Linked DNA regions of Tamandua tetradactyla. The protein of the gene in region 2 interacts with the protein of the main gene of each other region in a pairwise test. Links are inferred from orthologs where the notes say so. Each region holds a gene or a part of one and is shown on either strand. Other genes may lie near its edges.

Region 1 (8,156 bases), on a different chromosome or scaffold from region 2:
CATAGTTGCATATTCATCATTTCTTAGAACATTTGCATCAATTCAGAAAAAGAAATAAAAAGACAACAGAAAAAAAATAAAACAATAACAGAAAAAAAAGATTATACATACCATACCCCTTACCCCTCACTTTCATTTATCACTAGCATTTCAAACTAAATTTATTTTAACATTTGTTCCCCCTATTATTTATTTTTATTCCATGTGTTGTACTTGTTTCTTGACAAGGTAGATAAAAGAGGCATCAGACACAAGGTTTTCACAATCACACAGTCACATTGTGACAGTTACATCATTATTCACTCATCCAGAGAAACATGGCTACTGGAATACAGCTCTACACTTTCAGGTAGTTCCCTCCAGCCTCTCCATTACATCTTGTATAACAAAGTGATATCTACTTAATGTGTAAGAAGAACCTCCAGGACAACCTCTTGACTCTGTTTGGAATCTCTCAGCCATTGACACTTTGTCTTATTTCACTCGTCCCCCTTTTGGTGGAGAAGGTTTTCTCAATCCCTTGATGCTAAATCTCCGCTCATTCTAGGGTTTTTCTCAATCCCTTGATGCTGAGTCTCAGCTCATTCTAGGATTTCTGTCCCACATTGCCAGGAAGGTCCACACCCTTGGGAGTCATGTCCCACGTAGACAGGGGGAGGGTGGTGAGTTTGCTTGTTGTGTTGGCTGGAGAGAGAGGCCACATCTGAGCAACAAAAGAGGCTCTCTTAGGGGTGACTCTTAGGCCTAAATTTTAAGTAGACTTGACCTATCCTTTGTGGGGTTAAGTTTCATATGAACGAACCCCAAGACTGGGGGCTCAGCCTATAGCTTTGGTTGTCCACACTGCTTGTGAGAATATCAAGAATTCAACTTGGGGAAGTTGAATTTCTCCTCGTTCTCACCATTCCCCGAAGGGGGCTTTGCAAATACTTTTCCACTCACTGATCAAATCACTCTGGGATTCATCGGGGCATCACTCTGGACAAACCAACAAAATCTCATGTCCTACCTGAGATTCCAAGTTCTTATGGTGTTCAATCAAACTATCTACATAAGTTATATTAGGAAATGCACTAGTCAAAATATAAATTTTGTAACAAACATTTTTTGCTTTAGTCTCACACATACGGTGACCTTTTAAAATATTAATTACCATCTATTTTCAGTACCCTGCAATAATAACATTCCTTTGTTCTTCCTCTTGCAAAAACATTTTTAAAATATGTGCATTTAGTCAGTATTATTATACACTCTAGGCATTCCTAGATTATACCATTCAATCCAGCTCCAATTACCCAATATCTTACCCTATTTCTATCTCCTGATGGTCTCTGGTACCAACAAAATATTCCAAATTTATTCACTAATGTTAGTTCCTATCAGTGAGACCATACAGTATTTGTCCTTTAGTTTTCGGCTAGTCTCACTCAGCATAATGTTCTCAAGGTCCATCCATATTGTTACATACTTCATAAGTTTATTCTGTCTTAAAGCTGCATAATATTCCATCGTATATATATACCACAGTTTGTTTAGCCACTCGTCTGTTGATGGACATTTTGGCTGTTTCCATCTCTTTGCAATTGTAAATAACGCTGCTATAAACATTGGTGTGCAAATGTCCGTTTGTGTCTTTGCCCTTAAGTCCTTTGAGTAGATACCTAGCAATGGTATTGCTGGGTCATATGGCAATTCTATATTCAGCTTTTTGAGGAACCGCCAAACTGCCTTCCACAGTGGTTGCACCATTTGACATTCCCACCAACAGTGGATAAGTGTGCCTCTTTCTCCACATCCTCTCCAGCATTTGTCATTTTCTGTTTTGTTGATAATGGCCATTCTGGTGGGTGTGGGATGAGATCTCATTGTGGTTTTGATTTGCATTTCTCTAATGGCCAGGGACATTGAGCATCTCTTCATGTGCCTTTTGGCCATTTGTATTTCCTCTTCTGAGAAGTGTCTGTTCAAGTCTTTTTCCCATTTTGTAATTGGATTTGCTGTCTTTTTGTTGTTGAGTTGAACAATCTCTTTATAAATTCTGGATACTAGATCTTTATCTGATATGTCATTTCCAAATATTGTCTCCCATTGTGTAGGTTACAACAGGTCACTTTAAAGGATAGTTTTTCAGGGTAGCTAAAATGAGCAATGATAAAGTTCTGCACATATAACTGAAATGTCTGATATCAAACTGGAGCCAGTACCTTTATTTCTAGAGTTTACACACCCATATCTAACAAATAATTATACATTAGGATTGGGAGGAAAATCAAATATTATTTCACAATTGCCACTATGTGTTTCTTTGACACAATTGGCACAGACCCAGGCTTGCTATATTTGTGACGATTCACTGCCTTTCCTCCAGGAGCTTCTTTCACAATCTGGCTGGAGTTAGATTTTGGTAGCTGTCGGTGACGAGCTATATGTCTTATCTGAGAATGACGTTGAAATTTCTCCTTCAATTTCTGATTATAATCCTTGGCTGCTTTTTCTCGTGATATCAGCACACCCAACTTTGCAGACGCTTTCCACGGAGGAATGTTCATTTCTTCAGGTGCACACATAATGTACTTGCTGTCGGAAGTTCATTTTATGCAGATAACATGCTGCATTCGCTTTGTGCGATAAACTTCCCCACCTCGAATAGATTTATCAAAGCGAGCAGACACAAACTCTTTCCCAGTAGAAGAATGTGCTGGTTTGAAAGGCTTATGTACCCTAGAAAAGCCTTGCCCAATCTTATGGAGGCAGCTCTCTTTTAAGCCCTATTCAGCACTGTTAGTTGGAAACGTGATTACATTATCTCCACGGAGATGTGATTCAACCAATTGTGGGTGTTAACCTTTGATGAGAAGGAGATGTGACTCCACCCATTCCAGGTGGGGCTCGATTCGTTTATGGAATCCTTTAAAAGAGGAAACACTTTGGAAAAAAAGCTTCAGAGCCATGAGAACCACGAGAGCCCACACAGCCAAAGACCTTTGGAGATGAAGAGGGAAAATGCCCCTGGGGGAGCTTCATGAAACAAGAAGCCTGGAAAGAAAGCTCGTAGACGTTGCCATGTTGGCCATGTGCCTTTCCAGTTAAAGAGAAACCCTGAACGTCATCAGCCTTTCTTGAGTGAAGGTAACCTCTTGTTAATTTGGACATTTCTTGCTTTAACTGGGACATTTTCACAGCCTTAGAACATGTACACTTGCAACTTAATAAATTCCCCCTTTTAGAAGCAGTTCCATTTCTGGTATATTGCGTTCCAGCAGCTAGCAAACTAGAACTGAGAGTAATCCACATCAAGCACTGCAAATATCTGGTCCTTATGTACCATTACAGGCATGTCAAGTGCCTGCATATCGAAAGTATATAAATTGTAATCTTCATTAGCTGCAGTAAAAATGAAAGCCTCCATAGGGTTCCAACAGATTGTACTTGTTTTCATATCTCAGACAACCTTTTTCAGAAGAGTGGCTTGCCTCATATAGTCCTATATTTCTGCCAGAAGCACAACTTCCCAAGAGAAATGTCTCAACTGGGTTAAATTTAAGACTACTTATACTGTCACATCCCCAGACCATTGGATATATAGGATTGGTTCTTTGTTCATCCCAAATGTCCACTGGGTTTCATCATGCGGCAAAACCAGCTTCTTTCCAGTGATGATCAATTCCGGTATACATTATCTTTTCTAACACTGTATTCAGTAGCTCCTCCTCTTCTCCACAGCCCATGCCATCCACTTGCCAGTGCATCACAGTTTTGTCATCACCAATAGCGAAAAAAGAAATCCCACAAAAGCGAGCACATATTCCTCGTACGAAACCTTCGTGCACTTGTACTATACAGATACATTTTCGTTGAGCCAAGTTCCAAATTCTAACCTCTCCATCACATGCCCCAGAAACAGCCAGACTCTTTGGATGCTTTGCCAAACAACCGATTCCATCTCAGTGACCATCCAGGCAGGCAAGAAATGTTTCTGCAAATACCCATTCTAGTTTGGTAGCATTTAAAACTCTTCCATATTCTCGTGGAACCTCAAAAGGGTATAAGGCAGGATCACAGTTTCTCAGGACTCTCTTTAAGTCCAACTTTGTCTCATGGACGGAAGTAGTTGTCCAGGTTGCAGCTCAGCATCTACACCTTGATTTTTGCGGCTTGTTCTCACCCTGGAAGCTTTCTGCCTGAGTTCTGTGTTTCTTTCTGGAGGCTGCTTTCCAGCAGCAAGGAGAGCAGCTCTTCTTTGAGGGTGTCACCCAACTATGGCATTTAAACCTCACTGGGTGGGTAGGGACATCTAATCGGGGTCCTTGAAAGCCAGACACAGACGCAGATTCCAGCACCCTTTTGCAGGAAGGAGCTCCCAGTGCGGGTCAGGAGCCCAGGCAAGGGAAGCAGAGTGTTCCAGAGGCTGTGCAGCCAGGTCCACAGCTGGAACTTCTCCAGAAACCAGTGATCCCCTTGCCAGGGTGCTGTGCTCTGACTCACAAAATTCAAACCTCAGGACACGGGGTGACCACAGCCATGCCCCCCAGGACAGGTAGCAAGTGCTGTCTGGGGCAAGATAAGGTGCTGGCATCTTTGGGTTCTGGGGGAGGAGGCTGGAGGCCTATGTATCTTACACAAAGATTGGGTGTCATGGTACTAACCAAAGGAGGTGGGGGTGAATGGTGGGCAAGCCAACAAAGAAGGTTCTATTGTGAACGTATTCTCTTTGCTTCCCCCACCTTGCAGAGAAGGTGGATTAGCGAATTTTGTAGAGGGAAGCAGAAGAATAATTTGGTTATGTTTGGCACAATCTAGACACAGTGAAAGTGAACCGATGAAGGAAGGGAACTGGGAAGCGGAGAAGCCATTTAGGGGTGGGTGATGAGGGTTCACGCCCCCTAGGAGGGGCTCGATCACTAAGCAGAGAGCGCGGATCAGAGAACCTCCCCAATCCTTATTGTCAAATTACGCAAGTTTACGCTCCTTCAATGACCGATAACTTTTCAGACGCTCCCTTGGCCGCGCGCCCGGTACCGGAGCAGAACTGTCACTTGCGACCAGCTCCCTAGGCCCGAGGCTGAAGGGCGCAGGCCCGGGAGAGGCGGCGGCGGGCAGAGACCGCCCCGGAGGGGAGGGGGCGCCGTAGAGGAGGCGGAGGTCGGCGGTGAACTCCGCTCCAGCTCGGCTGCCATGTCCCGCCAGGCGAAGGACGACTTCCTGCGGCACTACTCAGTCTCCGACCCCCGGACCCACCCCAAAGGCTACACCGAGTACAAAGTGACCGCGCAGGTGAGGTGGGGCCCAGCGGGGAGCTTTACCACTTTAACAAGAGTGGGCCCGTGTTTTACCTTAAGGCGTGGAGCTGCAGACGGCTCCCTTTTCAGACGACTGAAGTGTATTTCCCCTTTAAGGAGGGTTTGCGGCAAGAGCCATCCTTTACTTTTTTAACCACGGGGTGGGGGGTGGTGTAGGAGGCGGGGACCTGGGAGGGCGCTGCCCTTTTTAAAAGGGCGTGGCCCGCAGTTCCCAGTCCGGCGAGGTGTGGGTGGCCACGCCCAACGCGTGGTGTACGGGTGTCGGGCTGGGAATTTATCTGAATTAACATGAAAACTCTGTCTTAACGCAAAGATTAGCTAGTTCTCCGATCTCTTAGAATAGGTTTTCATTTGTATTTATTTATTTATTTATTTTACTTAAAAGCCTTTTAAAGAGTTTAACTCTTTTTATTAATAAGCCTTGTTTGTGGTTTAACAAAACTCATACAGTTAAAAGGGATTTAAGGAATAAGTCTTTCTTCAACGGTCATAGCAGGAAGTCAGTAAAGACCGAAGTTCATTATTCGAAGCAAGAATATTATAAGCATGTAGAGAGACGGTAGAAGAAAACATGAAGGAAACAGTATAACAGAATATTTCTAAAAGGATGCAGGTAACAATTGAGACCTTTTAGGAGAAGAAGGAGGTTGATAGTAGTTAGGAGATTTTTCACTGTATATATTTTTGTACCTTTAGAATTTTGAACTGGGTGATTATTAAACTGGTGCATTCGTTAATTAACTGTTAAAGTGGAGTAAAACCATAAAGACACGACCAAAGCAATCCAAAGGCAGAATCTTCCTCCTTGTTTATTTTTGCTGTTCCCATATCTTATAATCTTGTCCATGCTTTAAAAAATGCAAGTGGTCATTCTAGGTAGTCATTTTAGGTAGATACTTAGAAGAATGGATTGGGGGTTGGGAAGGTTGTGTCATGGACTGTCACTTTTTTTTGTCTTTTTGTTGGACTTTCAGAGCAAGTAACATACAACTTTGATTTTTTTCCTACTTAATATGAACCTTCTTCATATGAACCTTTGCAGCTAGTTTCTTGCTGGTGTACCTCAATGAAATTATTATTGTGTTTCGATTTTTAAATTTTTAAAATTGAGACATAATTTACGTAAACGAATATGCCCAGATCTTAAGTGTACAGCTCGATACATTTTTACGTATGTCTGCATCAGTGCAAAAACCATCACCCCATTAAAATCCTGTACCCTTCTCTCATCAGCAGCCCCCCTCCCCAAGAGGTAACCCCTGTGGTTCTGACTTCTGTTACCATAGATTACTTTTGCGAGTTCTTGAACCTCAGATGAATGTGACTCAATTAACAAGTCGTCTTTTGTGCCTGACTTTCTCACTCTATTGATGTTTTTGGAATTTGTCCATATTATTGCATGTTTTAAGAAGTTTTTGTTTTTGTTAAATGGCTGCTTAGTGGTCTTTTCGTATGAATATACCATGTTTTTCTTTTCTTTTTTTTCTGCTGTTGAACATTTAGTTTCTAAAAATGTTTTAGGTATTATGAATAAAGTTGAGTACAGATCTTTTGGGGGACATATACACTCATTTGCCCTTGTAGATGCTTAGGAGTGGAATTGCTGGGTCGTAGGCCAGACATACGTGTAGCTTTCTTAGAAACCACCAGTTTTCCAAAGTAGTTGTACCATTTTATACTCAGTATCTTTAAATTCAAGCTATTCCTGAGTAATATCTCATTGGAGTATTAATTTGAGCATATCTCTGATGAATAATGAGTGTATTTTCACAATCTTATTGGCTATTCAAATATTGTATTTTGTGGATGGTGCCTGTTCAGGTATTTTGTTCACTTTTAAAAAGTTGACTTTTTGTTTTTGTCTTTTAAATATTGATTTGTAGGACTTCTTTATATATTCTGGATATGAGTCCTTTGAAAGGTATATATTCTTTAATGGTTTTTAAATATAGTTACTTTAACCCAAAATAGTTTAGGTGAGTCTCTATCATCAAAGACAAAGGCCAGGTTTTTTATTTATTTATTTATTTAAAAAATTAAGAACAAACAAACAAAAACATCATTAACATATCATTCCGTTCTCCATATGTAATCAGTAATTCTCAATATCATCACATAGTTGCATATTCATCATTTCTTAGAACATTTGCATCAGTTCAGAGAAAGAAAAAGACAACAGAAAAAGAAATAAAACGATAACAGAGAAAAAAAAAGATTGTACATACCATATCCCTTACCCCTCGCTTTCATTTATCACTAGCATTTCAAACTAAATTTATTTTAACATTTGTTCCCCCTATTATTTATTTTTATTCCATATGTTCTACTCATCTGTTGACAAGGTAGATAAAAGGAGCATCAGACACAAGGTTTTCACAATCACACAATCATATTGTGAAAGCTATATCATTATTCAGTCATCATCAAGAAACATGGCTACTGGAACACAGCTCCACATTTTCAGGCAGTTCCCTCTAGCCTCTCCATTACATCTTGAATAACAAGATGATACCTACTTGATGCACAAGAATAATCTCCAGGATAACCTCTCGACTCTGTTTGGAATCTCTCAGCCATGGACACTTTGCCTCATTTCACTCTTCCCCCTTTTGGTCGAGAAGGTTTTCTCAATCCCTTGATGCTGGGTCTCAGCTCATTCTGGGATTTCTGTCCCACGTTGCCAGGAAGGCCCATACCACTGGGAGTCATGTCCCACGTAGACAGGGGGAGGGTGGTGAGTTTGCTTGTTGTGTTGGCTGGAGAGAGAGGCCACATCTGAGCAACAAAAGAGACTCTCTTGGGGGTGACTCTTAGGCCTAATTTTAAGTAGGCTTGACCTATCCCCTGTGGGGTTAA
Region 2 (7,162 bases):
TTCTCTCTAGCTTTTCTCAATAGCGTTCTTACAGAATCTCAAATGTGCAAACAGCTCATTTCTACTTAAAGGCCTTTGCCCCAGGAGATGCTTGGAACATTTTTGATCTCCACAGCTCAAGTTCACTCCTCAAAAAGGCTTTTCTCAATGTCAGCCTACCTAAAAAAGCTCCCACACATCTACATGATGCTCCATCACCCTGATTACTTTTTTCATAGCACTTAACACTATTCTGAGTTTCTTATTTGTATGCTTATTATCTGTAACCCAATATGGGAGTGCAAGTGTCTAAAGTTTATTGCCAACCTCAAGAACCTAGAACAGTGTTTCTTTCTTAGGAAGTAATCAATAATTTGCTGAATGAACCCACAAACTGTTAAGAAATCTGGACTCAAAGAAATGGGTTTAATTATCCATGACCAAAATTGTAATGTTCCTGCATTTACTAAAGGAACAAAAAGTTTCCAAAGAAATATCATCGATAAAGAATTAGGAACTATGTAGAAACAGAGTTCCTGAACAGGCAATATTCTCTCCTCTATCTTCTAAATTTAGGATTCCAACAGTCAAGATTCCAAGAGAATGCTGTCACCTCCTATATTCCCACTATTCAAAGAACAGAATTCTTAGTTCCCAAGCAGGAATCCAAAATAACAAGTTAACATGCTTTTAAGTTTCCTTTCCGCAAATTTCTTATAATTTTATATTTTTCTACTTCACCTTACTTTCCCTCATAGATATCTTTGTCATACAGAAAAAAGAATGGTTGAGTTACTCATCTTCTAAGACCTTTAGTGTACTGATGAATGTTTTGAGTAGTGCTTTGGGCTATTGTCAATATCAAAATGTTGTTACGTTATTCAAAAGCATCATCACAATCGGTTTATTTCCGCTTTGTGGAACAGGAGTGAAATGAAGGAAAAAAAAAAAAACTACTGTGTGATCTGACTGATTTTCTTTTTCAAGAAAATGAACCACCCCTAAAATTCTAGAAGGCTATGGACATTTCTCAACAGGCTACCTGATCCCTGATCTATAAAGAAAGGTCCTACTGCTAGTGCAATCTATCCCCCAAAGCAAAAAGTTACTCATGAATGCATCTAATCAATTTCTCTATCACTAACAAACTTAATTTTTTCCTTTCACACTAATTTTCTAAGATGAAGAATGTAATAAAACAATGTTCCCCCAAATAAAAATAACATAAAATCAGCTAGTCATGCGAATTAAAGATTTGAAAACCATTTTTTCAAACCCTAGATTTGTGTTTGTCAGCCTAAAACATTTAACTTCTAAGAAATAGTATTTCTAACCAACTTATGAAAATGTCGGTCTCAATACATTTCATTAGGTCTCACGGTAAATCTGCCACAAGGTCAACGGGCTGATTCCCAGCAAGGAATCCACAGGTTTCCTCTTTCTTAAGAATGTCAACCATTTTGCCTTTCCTTTTTTTCGCCAAGATTCAGTTCAGGTGCATCGAGAAGTTGAACCCGTCCACAGTAACAGTTAATTCCTGTAACCCTGCAGTTGAGACCTTGTCAGAACTGTGCCTCCATAGAACCCAATGCTCAGATCCCCTTTCCCTGGCTTGGTTTTTGGTTTGGCTTTGTGGGGAGTCGCCACACCACAACCTGGGGTGGGCGGTGGCAGGACTCAGCCAGAATTCTCTCTCCTTTCCCATTCTCCACACGCCACACCACTGGAGGCGCTCTCCCTTCACTGCGGCTGGGTCAATGTGGACGTTTTCCAGTGGGCCAGCTCCCCACAAGCGCAAGAGGGGGAGGGGTAAAGCGTAAGGGGGCCACCCACGCCGGGAAGGGGTAGGGAGGGGTCCAGGGCTGAACTACAATAGACAGGCAGCGAAAGCTGCACCTTTTCCTAGAGGAGCAACCCAGACGGGTGGACAAGAGCCCCTCCCAGAAGCTTGGGGCGCCAAGGCCTGCCCAACCTTACCCTGAAACCAAGCCAGCCCAACGAACTCACAACCCTTGTTGCTCGACACACACCCAGCTCCAACGATGGGTGGGGGCCCAAGCCCCGGGATGCAGTGAAATGGGGACCAGAGGGAAGAACATCGGGAGCCCGCGGGGTGCACGTGGTTCCCCGAAACCAAGACAAACCAAATAGAACAAGCCCGGGCTTCCTCCGCCATCCCACCCTTCTTCCCGCGCCTCCCGGGGGAGAGAGGGCGCCTTCACCCAGACCTCGGCAGACAAAGCCCCCTCAGGGCTCAGAGGAGCGGCACACAAAAGAGGGAGGGGCGCGAGGCTGGAGGGCGCGGCACTCACCCACGGAGCCCGAGGAGCTCCTGCGCTTGGGCGCGGCCGGCGTGGAGGGGGGCGCGGCGGGGGCCACGGCGGGAGGGGTCCACGCGGGCTCGGCCTCGGGGCTCAGGGCGGTTGGGGGAGGAGGGGGAGGCCGGGCGGGGGGCTCGTCGTCCTCGGGCAGCTTGGAGGGCGAAGCTGCGGCAGCGGTGGGCGGGGACGGCGCGGGCACTGTGGACCGCGCGGGGCTCGGGTCCCAGGACGGCTGCCGCTCCGGGGCGGCGAGGGGCGCTGCCGGTAGGGGTCCCCGGGGCGCCGGGGGCACGAAGTCATTTCCGATGTCAAGCAGGGGAGCGGGAGCTGCGGGCGCTGGAGCTGCAGACAGCGTGGCGGCGGGCTTCCTCTCCAGCACCTCCAGCTCCTCGAGGTCCTCGTCCTCGTCCTCTTCTTCCTCCTCCTCCTCTTCCTCCTCGTCCTCGGGCTCCGTCACGAACTGGTACTTGAACTGGGGCTGAGGCCGCGGCGGGCTGTCCGCGGACGAGGAGACCAAAGGCGACTGGTCCAGGTCTTCCATGGCTGGCGGACCGGGGATGCTGCTGCAGCTGCCGCGGCGCGGGCCGCTTCTCTTTCACAGCTGCGGGCGGTTGTGGGGGTTGGGAAGGACTGAGGGGCTGGGCCGGCCGAGCCGAGGGACCTGCAGTGGCGACGGCTCCCGGAACAATGAGACTGCTCCTCCTGCCTCCGCGCCCGTGATGCGCCACCCACCCCGTCCCCTCTCGCAGCCGCCGCCGCCCAGATGAACGAAGGAGAGAGGCCAGCAGACTCTCCGCCCAGTTTGGCGTGACTCACCTCCCTGGAGGGGAGAAGCAGGGTCTGGCGCGGGAGGAAGGGAGCCAATCGGCTCCGGGATGGAGAAGATGGCAACCAGCCGGGCCAACGGAAAGGGAAAGTGCTGGGAGGAGGCGGGGCTTGTTGCGCTTCCTTGCCCTTACCGGCTGGGGTTGGGTTCGGTGGGCGGGATTTGGGACTGTGAGCCTCGCCCCTCACCTTGGGTTATTGTGGGTCCGGGTGGGGTCTTGGCCTTGCAGGGCAGTTCGAGGTCTTGTTTGTCGTTAGAGTAGAGCGAAGGGGAAAGGGCTGCGGACCCGGAGGGGTTGGAGAGGTTCCTGGCGCGCCACCGGAAGGGCGTTATCGGGGAAAGGGGGAGGGGGAAGTGGAAACTTTCCTGCCAGGAAAGAAAAACCCAGAATGGGGTATTAACTAACGGGATGGTGAAGTAGGCCCTCATAATTTAAATATACATTTTTAAAGATTTTGAAATAAAAGATTATACTTTTTTAAACCCAAATTCCCAAGCCACCTAAATTTTTTTTTTTTTTTTTTTTTTTTTTTTTAGTTTTAAGACCACTCCCAGTCTAAACTGCAGAGGTTGGCATGAGGTAAGCCAACAGCTGAGGACGGTCTGGAGCTCCGGGAACCACCATTTGAAATTGCCGTTCCTGTCCTTCCAAGAGGGTTTTAGGCTCTGCTGCTTGACTCTCACATGATGGAAGGATGAGTCACCCTAAGAGAGAGGAGAGGAGGAAAGTGGACACAGAAAAATGCCTCGGAAGGCAAATTTGGTTCACATTACATTTTCAGTCACCTTAGGCTCATGAGTCAACATTTCAGATGATGCAGGCGTTTCTGGGAGTCAGAAAGCCCCAGAGTCATTCGTTTGTTAAGCGGGAATGATCGTGATCCCCCAGGTCACTTTTTCCAAAACTGGAGAGTTTAAAGAAAGTAGTTGCAGAACACAAGAGTCATCAGCCAGAGATCTAGAGAGCCCTTTGAACTTTCTGAGGTGCCCACTCTGTTAGGCCGTGGAGAGGAAGATCACCTGCTTTCAAGTTGCTTACAGTGAGGTAGTTGCAGCTCTGTCCAAAATTCAGTTGCTGGCTACATGCACCTATTGAGCACTTGGAATGTGGCTAGTCAGAATTGAGATGTGTTGTAAGTGTAATGTGCACACTGAAATTCCAAGAATGAGTACCAAACAAAAAGAATGGAAAACGTCTCACAAATTTATGTAAGGTTACCTGTCGAAACTGATATTTTTGATATATTGGGATAAGTAAAATATCGATTTCACTTGTTTCTTTTTACTTTTTTAATACAGATACTAGAAAATTTTAAATGCACATGGCTCATTTTTTTTTGGACAGCTCTAGAGTAATAATGGCAATCACTGGTTATTTAAACAAATTCTTAACTCCAGCTAATTAATTTTATCCTAGGCTAAATTGGGGTATTGAAAAGGACAAGTAGAACAGGATTTCCTTGTCATTTAATTATCAATGGCACATGCAAGACTTAGCACATTGTTCTACAAAGATAAACTGGATCTATTTCTACAGGCTGATTGTGAATTGTTTTGAGCTTGTTTGTTTTTGCTTTTTTGAAGGGACTAGGAAGAGTAGGCTTATTTTGCTGGTAAATGAATGCCAAATTAGAAATTTTAAACAAAACGGACTCATGTGATAATGACTAAAATACAACTCTAAAATATTAACGTTTCAAGTGTTTGTCAGAAATTATCTAAAATGTACATGATTTTCAACTAAATGTATACACATACAAAAACATACTATTTTTATGCTATGAACTTTTTCTAAATTAAGCTATTAGCATTTTATTCGTTCCCATACTGCTTTTCCTGCTATGTTTGTTCTGGAACACATTAATGGGAAACTTCAAAGGATTTCCATATGTCATCTGTAAGTTGCTTATATGATATATCTTCATTCAGATGAGCTCGGTACCATATCTGTACCTACTAAAACAGTCTCAAAGGGATATTCTTAATTTATTAAAATTTGCAGGTATGAATGTAATATATATTACAGAAATGTGATAGCTTTATGACTTTAATAGCAGTGAATATTGGGACAATAATATAAACATTCTTCTGATGCAGAAGAAAGACTAAAATTATCTTATTCATCTCAATGACCTCTAAAATATTAAGCATTTGATGGTTAAATAACAGGAGTTTACCCAGTGTTCATAAAATGGTTAACAAAACATAAAGAAAGGAGAATATGACTGCTATACCAAAATTAAAGGTATAGTTAGTTACAAGAAAGTTCTAGTGGGCGTTTAGGATAGTTAAGAAAAGAATACAAATTCTAGATCATATTAGTGGTTTAAAAATAATTATTCAGCAAATTATCTTTGGAATCATTTTGCCAGGAGTAGCTTAATTTTCCAAATACCCACTGGTTAGTAACTGTTCTGTCTTAGAACACTGCACAAGATCCATTCAGCCTGGTAGAATCATAGATCTCAGAGATGGGAGGACTCTGGGAAGTCAGTTTATCTAATCTCTCCCATTACAAGAATTCCCTGCAGAGTTTTTTAAAAGGTGGTCATCTGTAGATTAAAAGTGGCTGCAATCTCTTTGCAGCAACTGTCATCAAGAGGGGTCTTCTATTTCCCTACTCCTCTGAGTTGGCTTTGTGACTTGCTTGACAAATAAAATGCCCTGGGAGTGAGTTCCATGTCTAACAGAAAGAGGTATCACAGCTTCCTCTTTAGCCCTCTTGGAATGCTGAGGCCCTGTGAAAGAGCCAGGGCTATATATTCTGGAAGATGAGAGACCAGTGGAGAGGCAGGCCTGCTATCCTAACCATTTAGATGGTGGCCCAGAAATATGAATGAGGCCATCTCAGACTCTGCAGCCAACCCACACTATCATGAAAAACAATGAATCATTGTTTTAAACTACTACCTTTTGGGGTGGTTACTTATACATCAAAAGGTACTTGAAACATCCATTTTGGGCTTCATTTATGCTTGATTCATTCAGACAAGATAGTTATTGGGTGTTTATTATGTGTCAGGCACTGTTCGAAGCTCTGGGGATACACCACTGAAGAAAACAGACACAAAGATGCTTGAACATTTTCAGTAAAGGGAGACTCACTACCTAGAGAAATAGCCCATTCATTCCATTTCTAAAATATTTTACTTCACAGAAAATGTTGAATTGATACCTAATCTGGTATACATAGAACAGATTAATTGTTCTTATATCATGTATACCCCTCTACATGAGTTAAAAGGCATAGAATGGATGTATCTCATCTTTACATGTGGGGTATGAACTTCAGAGTGAATGCAGCAATCATAGAAGAAAGATGGGACTTGAATGCCAGCAAACCTGTTTCGACAACTGTGAACCATAGCTTTTTTTTTTTTTTTTTTTTTTTTTTTTTTTTTTAAAGGAAAGACAGAGAGAAGGAAGGAAGGAAGGAAGAAAGGGAAACATCTTTAAAGACAGAGAGAAGGAAGGAAGGATAGAAGGAAGGAAGGAAGGAAGAAAGGGAAACATTTTTTCTTGTTTTATTGTATTCTGTTTCTCCGTTTTTGTTACATGGGCTGGGGCCGGGAATCGAACCGAGGTCCTCCGGCATAGCAGGCAAGCACTTTGCCCGCTGAGCCACCGCGGCCCGCCCGAACCATAGCTTTTTCACCTAGAAGATGAGAGACCATGTGGAGAGGCAAGGCTGCTATTCTAACCATTTAGCTGAGGGCCCAGAAATATGAGTGAGGCCATCTCAGACTCTGCAGCCAACCCACACTATCATGAAAAACAATGAATCATTGTTCTAAACTACTACCTTTTGGGGTGATAAGAAATGGAAAAAAGTGAAGTTGTAGTGGGATACTCACATGGAAAAATAACTAAATGTGACCCCCCCCCATACAGCATACAATTAATAATTAAAGTTTTAGTGGCCGAGAGATTTCAAATAGATTCGAGAGGTCATTCTGGAGGTTACTGTTATACAAGCTTCAGCCAGATATTACGAATTGTCACAGTATGCCAAGCCCCAACCATCAGTATTCCTGAA

What was found.
Region 1: the proteins of RTN4 (region 2) and SNX15 interact in binary tests that used the Homo sapiens proteins (3 or more experiments, as listed by UniProt). The two-hybrid records come from large-scale screens. The link is inferred for Tamandua tetradactyla from reciprocal best matches to the Homo sapiens genes RTN4 and SNX15.

Annotation. Positions count from the first base shown.
Region 1 is NC_135335.1:9,539,685-9,547,840, reverse strand, and holds the start of SNX15 (sorting nexin-15), read left to right. Parts: upstream 1-5,040; 5' UTR 5,041-5,175; coding exon 5,176-5,274; intron 5,275-5,718; exon of another isoform or gene 5,719-5,907; coding exon of another isoform or gene 5,908-5,913; intron 5,914-8,156. UniProt on the Homo sapiens protein: May be involved in several stages of intracellular trafficking. Overexpression of SNX15 disrupts the normal trafficking of proteins from the plasma membrane to recycling endosomes or the TGN.
Region 2 is NC_135343.1:27,393,820-27,400,981, forward strand, and holds the start of RTN4 (reticulon-4), read right to left. Parts: upstream 3,127-7,162; 5' UTR 2,842-3,126; coding exon 2,292-2,841; intron 1-2,291. UniProt on the Homo sapiens protein: Required to induce the formation and stabilization of endoplasmic reticulum (ER) tubules. They regulate membrane morphogenesis in the ER by promoting tubular ER production.